2 linked regions of the Styela clava genome follow. The protein of the gene in region 2 binds, or shares a complex with, the protein of the main gene of each other region. Links are inferred from orthologs where the notes say so. Each region holds a gene or a part of one and is shown on either strand. Other genes may lie near its edges.

Region 1 (10,862 bases), on a different chromosome or scaffold from region 2:
GGACATACCTATTTGCAAATCCGTATCATTTGTAACAGAAGGCTTTAGATGTTGAACAGATACAGGAACACATTTTGGTTCACTGTCAGATAACAAATTGTTGCTATCCAATGCAAGTCCAAATTCAGGTGTCGTAAGATTTATTTTTTCACATTGTATTGTCAATTTTAACTAAAAACAAGAAGATGATCGCTGAAATTAAAATAGGCTTTCACTTCTTTTCATAATATTGTAATTTATCGTCAAAAATATGGTTGAAAATTTTGAAGCTGAATAACCGATGGACCTGAATTCAATATTCGAACACATTTCAAAATGGGTATAATGAATATAGGTAATTCTGGATTTTATTAAGAATAATTTAGAACAAGTTTATTAAAAATTTCTTCATTCTGAGTCATTGACATTTGACACGCATACAAAAATAATATTCAGTTTCTTTTTAAATCTGACAATCTGTATATAATATCAAATTGAAGTAAACCTTCTACATAAAAATATAATTGTTTGTACAAATTTCTGAGATGAATATAACATTATTTTCAACCTATTCGATTTTCAGAATTCAGAATAGTAAATTATACCATCTTAGCTTTCGCTATATACGATATATCTCATACTACTGAATTTCAGATCCCTTATATTTAACCAAAAAACAAAAAAGATTAAAATATCAAATTACTAATGGAAAAATAAATGTTTTCCTACCTCCATTCTCTGGGGTATCCTTCTGAGTACTTGCTCTATATTAGATCGATAAACAGCAACATCGTTAATGGCGAGTAAAATATCACCTTCAAAGGTAGTAATTATGAGTAATTTACTAAATTTCTATGTTGGCCAAAAATAATACATTTAATAGTACAGTATTATCGGCGTTCAGTCAGTAAAAATTTTATTCGAAAAAAAAATTCGGAATTGGAAAATAATTAAAATTCAACTTTGCAACTGATAACATTTATTATAACACATTGGCAGTCAAAAGTAAAATATCCAAATATATATGAACAATTTGGCGCTCCTTTCATATTAAGGACTGCTGGCATCAAGTCTTTTACCAAATGAAAAAGTTAAAACGCATCCAAAACTTTTTTTTCCGAATCGCTGAGACCAATTGAAAATATTAATCATGTTAAATAGCATTTTCAAGTTATAAAACTTACCTATTTCAATGGCTTCACTTCTGAAAGCAGGCCCATCAGGTAACAATGCACTGATTATAATAGATTTATCATCGCTAGTCTTCGCAAAATATTGTCCTCCGTTAAGACTGTTGAGAGAAATGATACCGAGCATTTGTTTCAACAAAGATGAATCACCTAAAAAAAAATGTAAAATATATTGATATTGAACAAATGAAAATCCAACAAACATGTTATCAATTATTCAACAAACAAAAAATGTCATTAATAAAAAAATATTAGTATACACTGTACAGAGCCTTTTTTGGAGTGAAAGGCCCCCCTTAAGAAAAACATATGAACCCATCAATTAACCCACACGAGTAATAAGAGGTGCCCGTTCACTGGCAGGGGTGAACGACTTTCAGAACTAATCCCTTAATAACTCTAACCTGATCCATACGATGACGCCGAGTTCACACAAACAAAGACAGTTTTAAATTCATTGTCGCTTTCATCCGAGTGAAGTCTGAAAGAATCGTGTTGCCTATGTCTATTCTGTTGCTGATTCCGATGAGCTAAGTATTCATCTCTTATTGTTTTTCGTTCATTCACGCTAATTGAATGGGTTTGTCGATGGGATGGAGCGTTTGATGCTGTACCGTGCAGGTCTGTGCTTGACAATGTGTTGTCGAATTTCTGTATAGAAATATATTACTTCAAAGATGACAGCAATGCTCAAATAAATAGATACAGAGGTCATGCATCTGTGAAGTATGGTATGGCCTGAGAACTTCAAGTTTGCAGACAAGAAATACAGGGGCGGGTCAAGCAATACAGAACAGGAGGTGTTTTCTAAAATTTTGGTGAAATATCAGGGACTCCGAGAAAATTAAAATAGCAACTTTTCCATCATAGAGTTGGCCCACTGAAAATTCAAAATTAACTTGTCCATCAGATATGGAGTAAAGATTTTTTTTTCCCAACAACAAACCAGAGAAAAAAATTTAGCAAAATGTATAACTTTAGTTATAGATTATGGCAGAACAAACCTTTTACAACAAAATAAAAACTTTTATCACCCCAAAATTTGTGCAATGGCAAGTGTGTATCCCACCCACAAAAGGCCAACCCCAAGTCTTGTTTTTCCAATTAAGAATAGGAGCCTGGCTGAGAGGTCAACTAGGCCTACTAATGCCAAATTACTTTGTTTCGAGCATCTCTATTTTGCTGCACTGTTTGATGTACTGATGTTTCATCTTCAACAAAAAATAATTCTCCATCATCATCTATTTCATCATGCCATGGTGGGTTTGAATCACTGTAGAAATGAATATGTTTACTATCATATCATTTGAAAACATCACTGGACAGGTAATTGCATGCGCATATAAATAATTAGTAAGTAAATATAGGATAAGCTTTACATATTTATCTCGGGGGAGCTGGTTTAGACTGCTGAATCACATGGCAAACCATGGCCTCTCGCCCGGTTACCAGTCCATGTCGGGTACAGGATTAGTTAGCCAGTTACCATTAAATTGCCAAACTTCAAGGTGTAGTGTAATCTAGTACCACAAGTACTTCTAGTGGGCTTGGCATAACCATTTTTACATATGTCAGTATGTTATTGAGGTGGGGGTTAGGTATGACAATATAATACAATTCATTCAGAAAATACAACACTCAGTAAAAAAAATCGGGTCCCATGTAGTTTCGTACCTAACATACTTCTAGTGAGCGTAGCATGATAATTTTCATGTATCAATCCTAACCCCCACCTGACTACACCATCCAAAAATTATGTCATTAAGACGTCACAGTGACGTAATACAGCCCTTCAAACTATACGAAAATGCCATCCAAAACGCGCAAACGAGCACCCGAAATCGAACAGTTATTTCTCTCGATTTCTCGTTGCAACGATTCCAATAGGAGAGGGATCGATAACCCCAGTCAGTTCTTTATCGTAGGCGCCAATGCCATTTCGGGCGATAGTCGTATATTTGACAGATTGTTAGGATTGACATATCAAAAAATTGTTATGCTACGCCCACCAGAAGTACATTAGGTACGAAACTAAACGAGACCCAAAAAATCATATTACAGAAATGCCAGGAAAACGAGCAAAACTCAAGAATATAGTTCATAACATGTAATGCACGTGCCTGTTCACCAAAAACAACACACATAATATGATAAGATTATAATAAAAAAGACTCGATGAGCAGAAGTGAGAGGCTGGTCGGGTGTTTCGTGTGATAGGAAAATGAGGCACGAGGCACGCATGCCTAGGTTACTTGCTACATGAAAATATCAAAATTTGAAGGCAGGTAAACTGTTTAGTATGCGAACTATTAACAATTAAGATTCCGGAAGAGGCCGTTTTTGCATTAAATAAAATTATTGGTATCACACAGGTCATATCTGACATATAAAAAAAAATTGTTGCTCCACGCTCATTAGAAGTTAGTGTGGAACGAAACTACACAAGTACCCAAACCTCGGACAAAAATTTTAAACTTGCATAGCTATCTTGGCTAGAAAAGCGTCGTACAGTCGTATATTGCCAACGAAATACAGTTAGAGCATAAAATTGCGCAGTCCATAGGCTGTAGCTCAAAATGATCAACATTTAAACATTGTAGTATGGCAGGAAATTAAATAGTATATTTTAGATTGAATTGTATAAACCGACAGCAAAATAGCATCAATTCATTCATTTGCTACCGTCAGACCGTTATTGAAATAAAAACAAAGTCACTTACTCAGAAAACTCATCAGCTCCGGAACTAGAATATGTATCACTGTCGTCAAAATCTGAAATGTTTTCTGTACTCTCATTAACATTAGACCGCCACATCGTACTTATCGATTCTTGAAAAATCTCCACCGTCAACTACAAACCTAATGCCGAGACAACAACACTCGAATTTCAAAACAATAAACAGCGAGTACTACAGCGGCCACCTGGCGGGACCTTTGATTAAAATTTTCCAAGGTTTCGAACAAAATGTAGAACAGGCGGAATTTGAAATATATTTTCCCTGTACCATTTCTACGTATAATCAACACAACTTGAGGACCGCAAAATTAGAATTTATTGTACAGAAGGAGTAATCGGTAATGACACGGGGATAGAGGTCATTGGAAACTGTACCCACTGTCGACATATCGCATCTGCATTCCCACATACGTATATTGAAGAGACGATAATTTGCTTTGAAGGGTAATCAGGTAAATATTTTATCATCTTCCGTGCTGACCAAACCAACTCTGACACTCTTAATACCACTAACAAATATCTCGAAAAAAGGTTACACTCACAGCTAGTTTTGCTAGGCGACCCATCACTTTCTGAGCCTGATCCCAGACCAGGAGTTAGCAAACACCACAAAAACATGTTCACAGCTCGGATCAACGTCAGCCCATTCAACAAGTAATGCCTAAGCCTAACACAGTGACAAACTCAAATTAAAACTATGTGAAATAATAATTTTCTTCAGAGATGAGAACAAAAACATCTTCGAATACAATTGAAGATAGGAAACTGCGCACCTTCCCCAAGTCCTAACATTGCAAAAATGAAAACCAAACTGATTTCATCACAATTGTACTTTATTTACATTTTCAAAATGCTTGAAACGATGCATGCCATCAATATTCAATTATAAACATTCGATTACCAATGCAATAGAAAACTTAGCTTCAACTACAAAGACTTAACATCTTTCAAGTCTAAAATATTCAATCAAATTCCCCATGACAATAAGGTCAATTTCTGATGATATTATTACTACAAAGCAAGATTATATACCTACTACAAGTCGAATGGGCTTCCTTGTAATAGATTCTACATGCAAAACTACGGCTTTTGTTTGTATCAAAAGCAATAATAACATAATTCGGTAAATTCTCAACTCATTGATGGAACTGGAAAAGTTATAAAACCTATTACAAAATCAACTGACAACATTCATTTCTAAGCATACAAAGGCAGTGTTATAAACAAATTCAGATCGTAAAAAAAATTTTCGATCGCGAGTCGCAAATCAATTGCTAAAAATTGATAGGCTAAAAGCAAGATTTGCCTAATTCAACATGTAAACTACAATCAATTCGTCCTTTATTGGAGAGTAGCGATTCTAATAATAGGATATTCATTTTGATATTTAATCAAGTAAGATGCTAAAAAATTTCAGAAAAACACTCAATAATAAAGGTCCCAGGCAGACAACTTGGCCTACGCTTGATCATTGAAGCAAACTGCTGTTGTTTTTGTTGTTGTAGGTTCCAGCGTTTAGGATTTTGGCACCTGTTGCTGTTGTTGTTGAGCGGCTGCGGCTTGCTGATTGTAGTACTGCTGATAGTTAGCATAGTAGTTTTGATATTGTTGGTTCTGTTGTGCCTGGTAGTACTGTGCCCATTGTTGGCTGTAATCCTGAATATACAAATAAAAATAAACACATTAAAAAATGTACAAAAAGATGAACGAAATGCTTGAATCTGAGTCAAGAAATATTAATTTGTTCGAAAAATAAATACCTAGTCAGCACAGTAAACATGAACAGCTCTTTCAAAAGGCACATGCGCATGTTCTTACTTATCGATTATAATCGATAAGTATGTTGATAGGTATTTGTCTGTATGTCTGTTAGATGCACGCGATATCTCACGAAAGCGAGATTGAATCTGCTCCAGATTTTGCATGTGCATTCATCTTATCTCGGACCAGAAGCCTATTGATTTTGGGCGAATTATGTCATATAATTAGCGAGTTATCAATCAATTATTGATATAGTGATCTAGATTTTTGTAAAGCGAGAGAATTTTGAGACCCGCCGAGTGTGTGTGTGCGATGTGCAGTGCGCAAGTTACAAGAGCGGATGAATCGAAACCGCAGTTTCTGTTTTGGGGGATCCCCTAACTATCGATCGATAAGTCTTCGGTTTCCAACCGATATTCTCGTTTAAATGTTGTCTACTTAAATAATTTAGGAAATTTTTTTTTACCAACTGCCTAATATTATTTTGACAACTTCTTTTATGGTATTTTATTCACTTATCGGAATCACCGAAAAAAAAACAGAAAAAAAAGTGATGTACATTTGCTGTGCATAAAAGCGGTAAGGCAATAATGGACCAATGTTCAGAACGGTGTCACAAAAATGTTGCGTCCCGCTTTTACCCTTTTTAGTACACTTGTTGGTACTCCCGTAGTGTGTGTACCAGGTTAGGGTTGGGCCATAATTGTTTTCCGATATTCCTTATTTTAGTTCTATTACGAGTTCGGGGATTGCTATCCGAGTGAATGTACAGGGCAGGGGGCCCATAGCTTTCAGTCCCTTTAGACAACTTGATGTGAAGTAGGGAACAAAATTAGTTACCTCCAGATTGTTACACACACTTCTGGAGCGCCCTTGTTTCAATTAGCTACACTTGTCCCATTGTTCTGAGTTGGGATAAATACATTTTGCGGATTAATTAGCAAATGAACTAAAAAATCTAAAAAACCTGTTGTCCGTATTGTTGTTGGTAGCCTTGTTGTTGGGTCTGAGCATTTGAAGTTTGTGACTGAGTGCTAGGTTGTTGATAGTTATAGCCCTGCATACCATAGTTGGCGTAATTCTGCATTTGTTGTTGCTGCCTCTGTTGTGGTTGTTGTTGCTGTTGGTTCGGGTGATGACCGTAAGTGTACGACTAAAAAGAGAGAATAATAAGAGTTAAAAGTGCCACGACCAGAGATAAAAAATGAATGAAAATTAAAACAGCTTCCTTTTGCTTTAATTTTGAAATATCAAGAGATAAAAATTTTCTTAATAACCGATCCTCCAAAATATGACTACATATTTAGCTACAGGAACTACAGAGATATTTGAATTTCCCATGTCACTGAACCACTTCTAGAGTTCAACTAACTGGATGGTGGCAAGAAATATGGCTAAAATGGTAATGGTCATACCAATAAAACCATTGCCTATGAAGTAGAAGCCCAGGTCCGATGTAAAAAGAAGCTTTGATGCCGCAGAGGTTGAATACTACATCATACCTGAGCTGAAGGATGAGTGTTAGATGAGGCATTATTTCCTTGATATTTATTCTGTCCACCACTGCCTTGTCTTCCCTGGTATCCACCACTTCCGCCTCCATTACGATAACCTCCTCCACCACTGCCGGTACTGCTACTACTACTACTACTACTACTTCCTCCTCTTCCTTGATTGTGCCTGAAAATGGAAATTATTAGAAACATTAACAGCGTTTCATTCGGGATAAAACATAATGCATAGACAACGCCAAATGGTAACTATTCTGCCGCTCTGAATATTTTTCTGCTTCTCTAGAATCCTATTTTGAGAAGTGTGAAATTCGTCGTCAAGGTATTATATTCATCACGAAAAACTGAATTTAGGTAAGGCATAAACACCATCAAATTTGAGAGTGATTGGAACAATACTGAACAATAACAATTAAAATAGATGGAAGATTTATTCAATTAAATCATATTATAAAAACATACTTATTGTATCCTCCATACATATCACCACTTCCGCCACCGCGTCCACCTCCATATCCGCCACGACTCTGTTGCCATCCACCTGTTGTATTAGCGAAACACAAAATGAGAGACTACAAATAATGAAATGACAAATATAAAATAAATATGTAAAAATGTTTGAATCGATTCTAGCTACATTGTATGGTTTTCCATAGATTTACTGTGAACGAAATAAAAATTGCATAATAATGAAATTTGAACAATTCAAAATTGCTGTTTGTTTTAAAGTGAAATTTGCATTTTAGACACAAAGTCGACATAAATTTACTACTCTCTTGTTGTTGTAGTTAGAAACATCTGTGTTGATGTGATGCAAGCATCTCACATAACTTATGCAAATAAATTCTTGTTACATTATTGCTTTTACCTCTTTTGGCTCCGTCACGACTGCCGCCACCACTTCCGCCACGATTGTCTCTTCGTCCACCTCCACGGTTGTAATCTAGAACATGGGTGTGCAATTAATTTCTTTAGTGGGCCACTTACAGATACTAGACTTGGTCACTGGGCCATAAGTTCTTAACCCAATAGGAAATTATGAATGAAAAAGGTAATTTGCACGTCTAAACGCTAGTCCCGAGCACTGTTCCTGGCAGAGAAGTTAAAGTTTTACAATGACATTAATAATTCGGATGGGTGAGTTTGAGGTATATGAGGCTTATTTGCACATTATATTTAGGTTAGGGTTATGTGTAGAGAATATTTTTGCCAACAATTTGTTATTCCCATCAATGTTTTCATTGAAATATATATTCATAAAAACTTTAGTCATAGTTTTAGCAGACACAAGTGGGCCGGACGAAACACTTCAGTGGGCCGTAATTTGCCCATCCTTAATCCAGAGGAAACATTGAGTCGTTGACAAGCATTTTAGATTGACAAACAAACCATAGTTCTCAGATTTTAATATGGCGCTTTACCACCTGGCAAGTATTAAAATTGGCATGTTGAAACTGTAGAATGTAGTTCCCATACAAGTGCTAGATAGAACCTAATCACCAACTAAAGGTTGTGGTTTGTTTATATAATCAAACCATCTTATCAGATGACTCCGTCAATAATTTTAGTTTAAATGAAGCAAGATTGGTAACACATGGGTAGTGACATCAAACTGGCAAGACAAGTATCGGTAATTTACCAAACCTAACTGAACAGAATAAACACCTCCACTACCAATAGCAATTATGTTGCCAAGAACAAAACATGGCCAATATGGAGGTAACTAATTTTGTTTGCCTACTTTACCTCGAGTTGTATAAAGTGACTGAAACGTATTGGCAGAGGGTGTATTCACTTGGCTAACACAAACAGTTCCTGAACTCAATAGAACTAAAATAAGAAAAATCGGAATAAAATTATGGCCTAACCCTAACTTGGTACACATATCACAGGAGTGCCCCATAAACATATTGAATACTATAAAAATATCACAAAATTTGGTTTGACTATAGATACTACTTACCTCTTCCCTGATCGTATCCTCTGTTTCCATAACCCCCTCTTCCTCCATAGCCTCCACCTCTACCTCTGAATCCACCCCCGAAACCACCTCCTCCGCCTCCTCTGCCGTACCCCATTGGGCCCCCACCCCCTCCTCCGTATCTTCCCCAACCACCCCTATTTCCGTATGGCATGGGTGGTCCATAGTTGTCTCTTTGACGCCACCCACCGGGTCCTCTGCTCCTGTTGTCACCATCTATATGGAGAAATATGTTATAAGAACAGCTAGAAAGTGTAGTTCAACTAAAATATAAGAGAATACTGTAAATCAGGGGTGTTCAACCTGCGACCCGCGAGCCAAATGTAGCCCACAAGGAAAAATTGTGTAGGTCACAGAGTAGTGCCAATAATATGGTGTGAGGCCAGCCAAATGAGTTTTTAAATTAGTTTAATCTAATATGTGCGAGAAATTCAAATTCTTTTGCGTTACACCTGAGCAAAGCGAACAACATGTCAGAAGATCAATACCCAAAATTTTTGTACCAGTAACTACTAGAAAGTCTGTTAAATAAAGGTGTGGCCCGCGGCTTCACCTGTTATTTGTTCTCAGAAGTTTTTCAAAAATATTTGATAATACTATATTCACGACAGCAGGAAGCAGTCACTACTTGTACAAGTAGAAGGCGCTCAAGCGCTGAATAAAAAACAACCACATTTTACAAATATCTTCATTTTCAATTATCGTAAATAGTATCCAGACAGCCGACAAAAAAATCCATACTTCTGGATCTTTTTTCAGGAGGTGGACCATTCTTTCGTCCATCTTCTCTGTATTTTTCGACAAGTTTTTCCGCTTCTTCTCTCTCCAGCTCGGTAAAGATTACTTCGTCGAACAAGTTTCCTTTCTCGGGGAGAGAAAAGTTAGCTGGAGACAAGAAAAAAAAAAGGAAAAAAAAGTTAATTTCGTACAAAAAAAATATTATACCCAAACTGTTAGTTAGACAATAAGGCCGTATATTATAAGACAACTAATAGTACCCATCGAGACGTGAAGTCTGACGGTTACGATACCTTTCATTTCAAGAACGGCCATATCAGGTACTTCCTTCCCTTCATCCTGTGTGCGTTTTTCAAAACGCTGCTTATATTCTTCATCACTCGGCACAATAACAATAGCCTTGCGCTGAAAGCCCTCAAACGGACGCATTTTCCGTCTCTGGGCCGACGGATACACATTTGTCTATTTTCATTCATTCATTGTTGATTGTAAGGATGCATCACATGACATCGTACACCACCACGTAAAGTTATCGTGTGGTTTGAGCAAAGCAATACATGGGGAAAAAATGCAAGGAATCGGATTAGTTAACAGTTTTTTTTGCATTTTATCTCAATATATCTGTAGAGTATACAAAATTCATATGGTTATCAGACAAATGTGTATATGGTTAGGAAATACTTACCGTTCTCTGAAGCTGTGTTAAGTATTGTTATCGATAAGTACATTATGAAAAGAACCAAAATAAAATCAGTAATTTTCTAATTGATATTGAGACAAGAAAAAAATTGAATTTCCATTTTTTTTATTTTCACGAATCCAGAATATTGCATAGAATAATACAAAACAAAAGTAGTGAAAGCAACATATATTAAAACTGATAAATAAAATTATTTCTACTTTGTTAAAGCCAATTCATGAAAATTACTTCGTACTACTTCTTATTCACAAACAGAAAAAGAAAC
Region 2 (10,167 bases):
CGGTGTTTAGGGATTACATACATTTGGAACTATTGAAGGCAAAAAATATTGTAATATTCTTGAATTTTATTGCCCTGAGAAATGCCTGTTTAATCCAGTGTTCAGGACATTTCCAAATAAATCATACATTTATATTTATACATTTAAAACTTTTTAACATCTAAATCCAGCATTGTGGAAATTCCCACTTTTTGAATAGGTATGAAAATAGAATAGGATTCGGTATTCTGGATTCGGTTTAACTATTCTAGAATATTCTAGAATAGTGAATTATTCTACATTGCCCATCCCTAGTTCGAATTCAGTGGGCAATAATTATGTGCAAGTCGATTTCTGGGCTCCTCGCCGCCGTAGGGTCTAGGGTGGTTCGCGCATCTGCTGGTTGGTTACAGCTTTTTCCACCGTCAAGTCCATATATCTGAAACAAATACCTGGCTAACTAACCTCACAACCGGCATAGACTTGTAACCAGACGAGAGGCCATGGGTTGTCATATGATTAGGTCTTCTTATCAGCTTTCCTTCCTCGCAGAATAAATAAGTAAATCCTATTCTTATAAACTAACTCAGTTCTATTGGTAAAATTGAATACATTATCCCTCACAGTGTGTGCAAGTACATAATTGGACAGAGCCTTGTTCTGAGCAAATGTGCTCAAATCCTAGTTTCATTATAAAATATGAATCTACTTAATACGCATGTAATGAAAATCATAACCATAAAAATATCCCCAAAGGAACTAACGCTAGTAAACGGTACTCTCGTAGTATGTGTACCAGGTTAGGGTTAGGTCATAATTTCATTCCGATTTTCCTTATTTTAGTTCTATTACGAGTTCGGGGACTGTCTATGTTACCCGAGAATATTACCCCTTTCCATAGGCTTCAGACCTTCACCAAACTTGATGTAAAATTTAATTACCAAATTACCTGATTTTCATTCTTTCTGCTGAATTCAACATGAATTGGATTAGATTCTGTATATATAGAACTGTAGATTTCCAATCTGAATCAAAAAGAGAAAGATTTAACAGTAACAAGTTGTTAATAAATAGTGTACGACTTTTACTGCATTATCTGAATTGAGTATGGAATCGTTAGACTACCGAGTTTCACTATATCAAATCTTGCTCACCTGCCAAACGAAGATCCAAGTAGAATCATATTAGCTTTTTCTTCATTTGCATCAGTGGAAGTCCATGTTGATGGTGTTGTGTGCGATGTTGACCAACATATCGCAAGATTATGAGCTTTATTTACACACAGTTTTCTATTCCCTCTCATAGAACGAAAACCTAATAAAATTCAAAATTGAATTTAAACAAGATATTTATAAAAAAAAAATTGAATGTTGAATAGACATATTTTATGTTTGTTTACATTCAAAGAAGTTTTTGTACGAGTCATCATAAATTTGTAGCGATAAGAAGTTGATTTGTAGTTCTAAAATTTTAAATTGCCATTGTTTTTTGACCGGTGTTGTAAAACATGCGATGGCTTAATGATGGAAGCGTTGGACTAAGTTGGAATCAGAGATGACAAATCTCGGACTCAAATTCCATTATCACCACTTCACTCAGGGGTAATAAATTGAGTAGACAATGTTTGAAAACAGAAAAAAAGATTTTGGCACTTCTAAACTATAGCAGTGGATGTTAGTATGAAGTGTTGTTCAGGGTGAAATACACATAAACCGTAATAGTAGCAGTTAAATAGAACTGTACATTTATTAAAATTATATTTCTATTGCACATAATCATATTTTCAAAAAAAATATTTGAGTTTCGTCATACAATCAGGAATTCACCTCAAAAAATAAAACTACCGGTAATTAATTTTAAAAATCTATGAATCATGACATTTAGATAAGGACATATCATATAACTATACTTTAATAAAACAAAACATTCAATCAAACTAAATTCATCCGACTTATCAGCCACGATCAACAAAATAATTTTCTGTCACATGATACCGGCTCGCTGTCACTGTATTTTATAATTATGGGCAAACAATAAACAAACCTGGTATATCATGATAAGATATCTTCATGTCCATTGATGATAATTTACTTGATAGTTGTTTTTGATTGGGAGTTGCAGGTCTTTGTACAAAACTTATAAAACATAACTTATTTGCCTCATCCAAACAAAGTAATAAAAATCGATCTGTGAGATAGGCTGCAATGAGAAACAGAAAATTATTATTTAAATATAGATAGTGATAAGAGAAACTTTTAAGATGATAATGAAAAGCCTGGAAAGAAATACATGAAACTTAGGAAGCGAAGAAATACTTTCTGTCAGCTATATCCTGCTAAAAGCCTAGCTATTTTCCAAATCTGATATATTGATAAGACAACAGAAAAATTTATTCCAATTAAGAGGAAACAATGTATACTATCTGAGCCCCATCAAATCATTTTTGGCCTTTTACTCTAGCTATCACATCTCAAAAAATTAGAAATCTTTTCAGATTCAACTAGATCTGTAAATATTATATTATATATTATTCCTTATACAACTTGTTATACAATACATATTACAATACCTGCACCAATCGGTCCGAAGTCTGGTTGTATTTTTGTCAACAAAGATTTATCAAAAAATATTTTCTGTATATCGAAGTTCTCCGATAAAAGTATATTTATCAGCAAACCAGAATGAACAATTATCTGAAAACAATATGCTATTGGTTTATATTTTTTAGCTTAGCATACTAACATTAGTTGTCAACAAATCATTGCATTTTTCTTCCTACAGCTAGGAAATAAGTACAATTTTGCTACATATGAAAATTAAGATACCATTTTCTAAGTATATTTTAATAAATGACTATACCCTCTGAACAATCAATAGTAATAACAGAACATACAACATCTCAAAAATTATGACACAAATTTTTGTATCAATTGCATTTAATTATTCAACATAAGTAAACTCAAGCAAGCTAGATAACAGTAACAATGACAATGAATGGACAACCAAAACTCCTGGATAATGCTCATCAACAATCAAGCAGCAACACTACATTACATCTCAAATAATACCTGATGCTTGATATAAAAATAAACTTCATATTGTCTCATTATTGTTATTACTTTTCCTAATTTCAGTTGGAAGTGATCTTAGCATATACATATCTTCTTTGATTGTCTGTTGAGAATGCTTAAAACTTTTAATCGGGCTCCCACTCCCGAGAGTTTGAAGGTACAACAATATCTTCGAAATCAATAAAAACATGGTAAACAACACTAACAACCCTGAATGCTTCCGCCAAAAATCATGTTTCTTTCCAAATACTGAAATTTCTATAAAATAAGATATAAAAGTGAACTGAAATCAAACCTGAAGACTGTTTCGTTTATCCCATTTCACATGAAGAATTTTATGAGATTTCAGTATTTCTTCCAATTCTTTGATCGAATCTTTCAATCTTTCTGGTCTTTTATTTGGAAGAATCCACGTTCCTCCTCTGCTTTCAACATACTGCTGTTTAGTGTGATAATATTGTCCTTTAATTTTCTGACTCTTCTGTCTAGCTCCATCTTGCTTTTTCGATTCTTTGTCGTAATAACAGAATGCAGAAAGATTGTCTTCTATAAAAATAGAAGAAATATATCAATGAAGAAATTAATGAATTGTTATTCAGGAGTGGTTGTGATTATTATATAATATCTGAATATGGTGATTACTGGATTATAGTCAATACAACTGTCTGACTGTAGTACAGTAGTAGTGCCATACTTGATACAGAATTTTTTTATACAGCTGTACAGGGTCTTTTTCGAACATAAACAGCACCAGTCTTGTTGTGGAAATGTAGAGACTTTGTAGAATAATATGCGTCTCGTGTAGTTTCGTACCTAATGTACTTCTAGTGGGCGTAGCATAACAATTTTTTGATATGTCAATCATAACCCCCATCTGACTACGCCATCTGAAAATTACATCACTACGACATCACAATCACGTCATAGAGCTTGCCAAATACTCGTACAATCGCCCAAAATGGCATTGGCGGCGATGATAAAGAACTGACTGACATTATCGATCTCTCTTCTATTGGAATCGTTGCGACGAGAAAACGAGAGAAATAACTGTTCGATTTCGGGTACTTCTTTGCGCATCTTGGATGGCAGTTCGTATAGTTTGAAGGGCTCTATTACGTCACTGTGAGTCTGTGACGTTGTGTTAATGTAATTTTTGGATGGTGTAGTCAGTTGGGGGTTAGAATTGATACAGGAGAAAATTGTCATAATACGCCCACTAGACGTATGTTAGGCACGAAACTACATGAGACCCGAATAATATAAAGCAGGAAAGGGCTGAGAATGCAACTACTTTGTCAGTTTGTTGCTGTTGACAGATTGCCAGGTAAAAAATTTTTGTTGAATTAAAAAGTATGTCATACCCTAACTCTGATCCTAAATCAGCTAAGTTTATTTCGCCTCCATAATCAGCATGAATGACGATTTAATAATTCTGTAATTGATAATAATAAATAAATAAGCACTGATTGTGAATTGGACTAGATTAATGCCAACTTCTTTTCAAAGGATACCATGCGGTACATACATACCTGGGATTTGGCACTGTCTATCATTGAAGGTCCAATACTGTATGCCGCAAGTAATCGTACAGACTGAAGACGACATTCCTCCCGACTGCAAGCAGATCTAATGTGAGTAACTTGTCGCAACTCATTAATTCGGGAGGACCCACAATTTTATCCGTTAGTTTTTGACTCTCGCGCAACATCTTGCGGATGGTTAAATTCCATGTTCAAAATTATGGAGATTAGACAGAGCTGTTCAGCAATCATCCCGCACATGAAAAAACGATCGTAAAATTTCTCCGACTCCATAGCTCTACCCTTTAGTCTGGTGCCAATCACAAACCAAATTTATACTTACATATTTGTGATTGACGGATACGATGACTAATGATGATGATTGACTAATAAGATGGCTCGGCGCGGCGCGGCGGTGTGGCTCAACGGGCTAAGCGCTAGGAATACGCTCGCCACCGCACCTCTAATTACTTTGCGTGGGTTCGCAGGTTCGAATCCCATGCAGGGATGATTATGTGCGAGAGGATTGCTGGACTCCTCGCCGTCGTTGGGTGGTTCACGTAACCGCTGGTCGGTTACGGCTTCCTCTACCACCAAGTCCATGCTTCCGAAAACAAAACAATATAGAACTAATCCCATACCCGACTTGGAATGGTGACTGGACGAGAGGCCGTGGTTCGCCATATGGTTAAGGCGTCTTATCGGCTTTCCTCTCTCCCCAGGATAAACATGTAAATCCTATCCTATAAATCCTAAGATGCGCGTCGATGTGGCTCATCGTGCTAAGCGTTAGGAATACGCTCGCCACCGCACCTCTAATTACCCTACGTGGGTTTGCAGGTTCGTATCATCTGACCAGCGTCAAAATTTCCAATACAAACTGACATGTTGACAAAAGGTATTATGTACACGTCGCTTTGTTCTTAATTGATCTTTCTGTAATCATTTGTGTCAGTACTTCATGCTCTACAGAAATAAAATATCTAAACATGATTTTGTATTTCTTAACCTAGATGAAGTTTTTTTTTCATTTTCCCCAATCAATGTGTGTTCATTGTGCTGTTTTGCGTGTTTTTTCGTTTCGGAAAAATAAAAATAAACTTATACTGATACGATCGTCAAGGTTTGCGGTCGCTTCGTACCCAAGACTGTCCAATAATAATACATACCGTGCACACTGTTATCTCCGGTCTTACATATCGCAAGTTCCCGCACCTCTGTTATATACTATCCATCTTCTGCGCCTTTCACGTCTTTAATTGCCAATAAGCACGTGGTTAACTTTGGAACACAATCTGACGCAATCGAACTTAGGTAGCTACAAAGCAACGCGAAGGTTAAAAGCGAGGCAAACTTAAATGAAGGGACTACCATATTATATACGAGGATAATATATGACGGCGCGGCAGTGTGGCTCATCGTGCTAAGCGTTAGGAATACACTCGCCACCGCACCTCTGATTACTCTGTGTGGGTTCGCACCCCGTTCGGGGATGGTCACGTGCCAGAGGATTGCTTGACTCCTCGCCGCCGTAGGGTGGTTCACGCAACCGCTGGTCGGTTACGGCTTCCTCCACCATCAAGATTTGTCGGTTGAATAATAGGTACAGGTACTCGGGATCATGTTGAAATGTACAGACCATAGTTTTATAATGAATGGGTGGTATGACATGATTGATGAATTCATACTTAGCACAACAGGTGATAAAATGGTTTTTGTGAATACAGTATTTGGGTATCCCAACCACATACTTCATCCAGAATTTTGATATTTTTGCACCTTTTCAACAAACATGGTGCACAGCTCCAGTCTAATACATCATTTCAGTAGCACACTCGACACAAAGTGCCAAGAATGAACCCTATATATCCTACATGAGCAGACATCTATTTGCATAAACAAATGATTCGGATTCTAGGACTGTAAGAAAATGTGCCGAGGTGAGTCTATCAAAATGGTCATAATAGTTCAAATGTGTTAGGAACAAACTAAGGACTACCAGCTTGTTCGCGCAAAATCTGAGCAGCGGACAGATAGAAAATCATCTTGTAAATGAAATCATTTCGATGAAAAAGAATAATTACGACATGATCATTAATCTAGGTTCAAGTGTTTCAATATATGAAATCTCACTAGACGAAATTTTTTTTTGATATTAACTACGATTCTTCAATAAGATTTGCACACTGGTAAAAACTATGGTGTATAATATTTCATTCAACAATAATAATAGGAACTGTAATATTAGTTGCCAAAACTGTTTTTCAGTCACAAAGAAACAGACAAAAAATATCTGATAGGTTGAATTTCATTTACTGTGTACTTCAAATCAGAAAATTAGTCGTACAGCAGTAGAATTATCATAAAAAGAAATGGAATATTTATTGAACATTAGATTTGAGTAATCAAAGAAAATTGATGCCAGAATTACAACGAATTATGTTTTTATAAAAGATTGTAACATCATAGTTAGCTCCAATAAACATTGGATCAGCATATGCTTATATAATAACCATGATGAACATATTATCTTGATTGCCTGAAGCCTTCAAATGGATAATTTACAAGGATTACTGGAATGGATGGTTACAGTACAACTCGAGTAACCACTCCATGGACCATGCAAATATCTATTCGTTGATCTGGTTACCTATCCCCATACATCACCTCAGACACAACCAAACCAGAGGCAGTGGTTCACCTTATAATTATGCATGTTCATCAGCTTTAATCCCCCTTCCCCTAGTAAAACAATCCTTTCCAATGTAGAAATAGAATATCTGAATAAAATAGTTCACAAACGGGATAGAAATTAGTAATACAGAATGCATCTGGAACTCATGCCACTGATCGACTTCATGTTTTTCATAAAATAACCTAAGCATCGTAATCATCATCATCACTTTTTGCTCTAGAATTAGGCTTTGCTTGATGCAAGCTAGGATGAGCTGCTAAGTGTGAATTTATGCCTAAATGGTGGCTCGGTGGCGTCAGGATGGATTGCGTATATCCTAAGTAATGTCTCTGCGTTGTGGTTGGATTATACGGAACATATGGGTAAGTATAAGGATTAGGTGCACGTTGAAAATCTGGGGGCCCAGATGAAAGTTCTTGTTTTATTAGCGCTGCCGCACCGTGCTGTGTTTTTTCCAGGCTCAGCTGGTTATTTAGAGGTGGACGAGTATCAGGATACAAAAGAGGTTGTCTTAGGCCAGCAGAAGGTTCTGGCAATCTGTGTTGCGTAAGTGGGGAGTATGCATATTTGACTTGGGGCGTCAAAGACGGTCCCTTCGAAACAGTGGTCGTAGCCGGTAATTGTGGTAGAGGCATAGGTGCGGAACTGTAAAGAAAAGATAACATGCCACCCGGTTTTGGAATCACTGGAGGAACATTGTCTTGAGAAGGCTTGTTAGAATCGCCAAAATCGTCTATGTTTTGTTTGTTTCTGCCTGTGCTTGTATTTGACTCACTTTCCTCTAAACTTTTTACTTCATTAGAACTCGCTTGTATTGGCTTCTGATTTGCACATTGCGTATCTCGAATATTAGCACTGCCTACAGCTGCAGTAGACTGTGAATATACTGCTGTGTTTGCGACGATAACCCCTTGTCTGACAGAAGAATCGTGTTGTTTTTCATGCCTATTGTTTTCTTGTGGTAATGATGTATCCATTGATTGTGCTGGTTTGTCTGCTGTTTCGTTATTTTCAAGATCAGTGAATTTTTTATTGTCACTCGGTTCTTTATTTGTATCAGACGAGGCTTCAATTTTTACAGGTTGGTTGACATTCACCGTAGAAGGTAAAGCATCACTAGACAACAATACATCAAGTGGGATGTGAATAGATGGTTTGCGTTCAGGTCCAGTTGTTACCTGATCAGCTTCAAATTGATTGTGTAGTGAAGAAGTGCTGAAATAATGAAAATAATTCAACATGGATATAGAAATGATTAAATAATTCACAAAACTGTTGAGGTTTTAATAAATGTAATAGAGCAGGGTATCTTAATTAATGAGCCCTTGACTCCTCTTAGGGGCCAAAAAGCAGTTCTTTTGGGATGACGAGCGAGAACCTTCATCAGTCACCATTTGAAATAACTACATGATTAATATTAAATTGACTGTCATTTGTTTGTTTGACTTATTTGCAATTCATTCAGGCTCTGTTGGCTTTTTAATAATTAGACATGTTGCATGAGTCTTTAAAGGGGGAGCTGTAACAATGAAAGTATAGGAAACCACTGGCACCTAGCTAGAGCAGGGCTTCCCAAACTTTTAAGCTTGCGACCCTATCCAATATATTAAAAAGTTTTGCGACCCCCTGAAGGCTGCGGTGAAAGATATTGGGTTCACTCTTCACCCACCATCTCACCCAGGTCGTATTACCGTATCACACAGATTTGTCAAGCATATTAAAGAATCTTTATATATGTCCCAAAACAGGGGAGACAATCTAATTATATAAAGAACCATGGCACAATGCCGGATGCTATTCTGGTTAGCAAACTTAATTATTGATTTATGTGAGCCATACAGTGTTAACGAGAATCCTAAAAATCCTCTTACACAAGACCATTACAGCTATCCTCTCGCACAGGTGCAATGGAAAGAGTGACGCTTAGCGCAATGCACAACTGCCAAGCCATAGCAAGTACCTACAATATGTCGTACTATTTTACTTAGAAGTAACACACAGAGCATCATTATTAACACACAGTTCATACCTTTGCATTTCTAATTTACTTTGAATTGATGGACTGAGTAGACCAGGTGATGAAAATGAAGATGACAATTGTGCATCACTTTCTTCGTTTCCGGACTCGTTCTCACTCGCATCATTACCGGAATCAGTCTTAAAGTCAAGTTAAGTTTGTTAAATGTCTCCTCTTCACACAGATGTACAATATTGATAGCAAATTAGTATACATAAATATGGTGTATATTAGGATTTAGTCATTATTATGGACACTACGGATAGTCAGATTAAAAGCGAATAAAAATGTCATGTCTCTAATAACAATAATATTTGATTTCAAGTTGACATTTTTGCATATTATTCACTTAGTGAGAGATTCCAGAATACTTTTTCGCCTTTAATTTCGAATAAATGAAACTTGTCTGATTTTGAGGAATTTAAATTAACAGTCTACTAAAGGAGTTAAGTGTGGAGTCTGAATTTTTATGGCCCGAAGTTGGAGTCACTATTTCCTTAACTTAGCTTTGTTGCTTATCTAGGTTGTTATTCAAAAATATGAAGACAAAAAATATATAAACAATAGTACATGCCAAGAGGATAAAAATATTTGAGTAGTTTGCAGTTACAGTAAATGTATTTTAAAACACAAACCTCGTCTTCGCTATAATTATTTGAATGTCCTAGCTTTAGTCGTTTTTTTGGTGTTTTCTTAACTTTAGAAGAACTCCTAGAAAGGAAATTATTGTATTAGTAGTAATATGACATAATAAGTTATAAAAAAGCCATAAATCATTTAAGTCAGTTACTGTATGGAATCAAAATTGTACCTATTGAAAATACGAAAATTTATTTGAATAGTTGTAGTTTTCAAGTTTATTTTCCTTTATATATTCCTGGTTAC

Evidence for each region. The genes of interacting proteins can lie anywhere in the genome.
Region 1: the proteins of WD repeat-containing and planar cell polarity effector protein fritz homolog (region 2) and protein inturned-like are in contact, whole or in part, in a cryo-EM structure (PDB 7Q3E), measured with the Mus musculus proteins. The link is inferred for Styela clava from reciprocal best matches to the Homo sapiens genes WDPCP and INTU. Residues at the interface, in NP_663400.2 of Mus musculus: Phe3, Cys4, Leu5, Ile24, Leu51, Ser54, Arg55, Asp56, Lys93, Leu385, Ala386, Glu387, Asp388, Tyr389, Ile427, Lys446, Leu447, Gly448, Ile449, Leu450, Thr451, Arg452, Gly453, Leu455, Leu462, Gln463, Ile465, His466, Tyr467, Gln487; in NP_780724.3 of Mus musculus: Val481, Gln484, Val488, Asp491, Ser495, Asp496, Glu498, Ala499, Ala500, Asp501, Ser506, Glu507, Asp508, Arg513, Arg514, Thr517, Ser532, His533, Leu534, Pro535, His574, Tyr593, Glu610, Gly613, Cys614, Ala615, Ser616, Lys617, Ser653, Pro654.

What each region holds. Positions count from the first base shown.
Region 1 is NC_135250.1:6,315,541-6,326,402, reverse strand, and holds the start of protein inturned-like, read right to left. Parts: upstream 4,059-10,862; 5' UTR 3,985-4,058; coding exon 3,890-3,984; intron 2,443-3,889; coding exon 2,328-2,442; intron 1,821-2,327; coding exon 1,574-1,820; intron 1,320-1,573; coding exon 1,164-1,319; intron 795-1,163; coding exon 709-794; intron 172-708; coding exon 9-171; intron 1-8. Other genes in the region: uncharacterized protein LOC120343293, read right to left, coding at 5,422-5,562, 6,635-6,820, 7,170-7,347, 7,641-7,719, 8,047-8,121, 9,142-9,375, 9,901-10,044, 10,191-10,359. UniProt on the Homo sapiens protein: Plays a key role in ciliogenesis and embryonic development.
Region 2 is NC_135251.1:12,945,090-12,955,256, forward strand, and holds the start of WD repeat-containing and planar cell polarity effector protein fritz homolog, read right to left. Parts: upstream 4,864-10,167; 5' UTR 4,656-4,863; coding exon 4,580-4,655; intron 3,597-4,579; coding exon 3,346-3,596; intron 2,673-3,345; coding exon 2,549-2,672; intron 2,179-2,548; coding exon 2,023-2,178; intron 1,294-2,022; coding exon 1,134-1,293; intron 1,005-1,133; coding exon 929-1,004; intron 1-928. Other genes in the region: uncharacterized protein LOC120336489, read right to left, coding at 7,448-8,480, 9,295-9,422, 9,918-9,993. UniProt on the Homo sapiens protein: Probable effector of the planar cell polarity signaling pathway which regulates the septin cytoskeleton in both ciliogenesis and collective cell movements.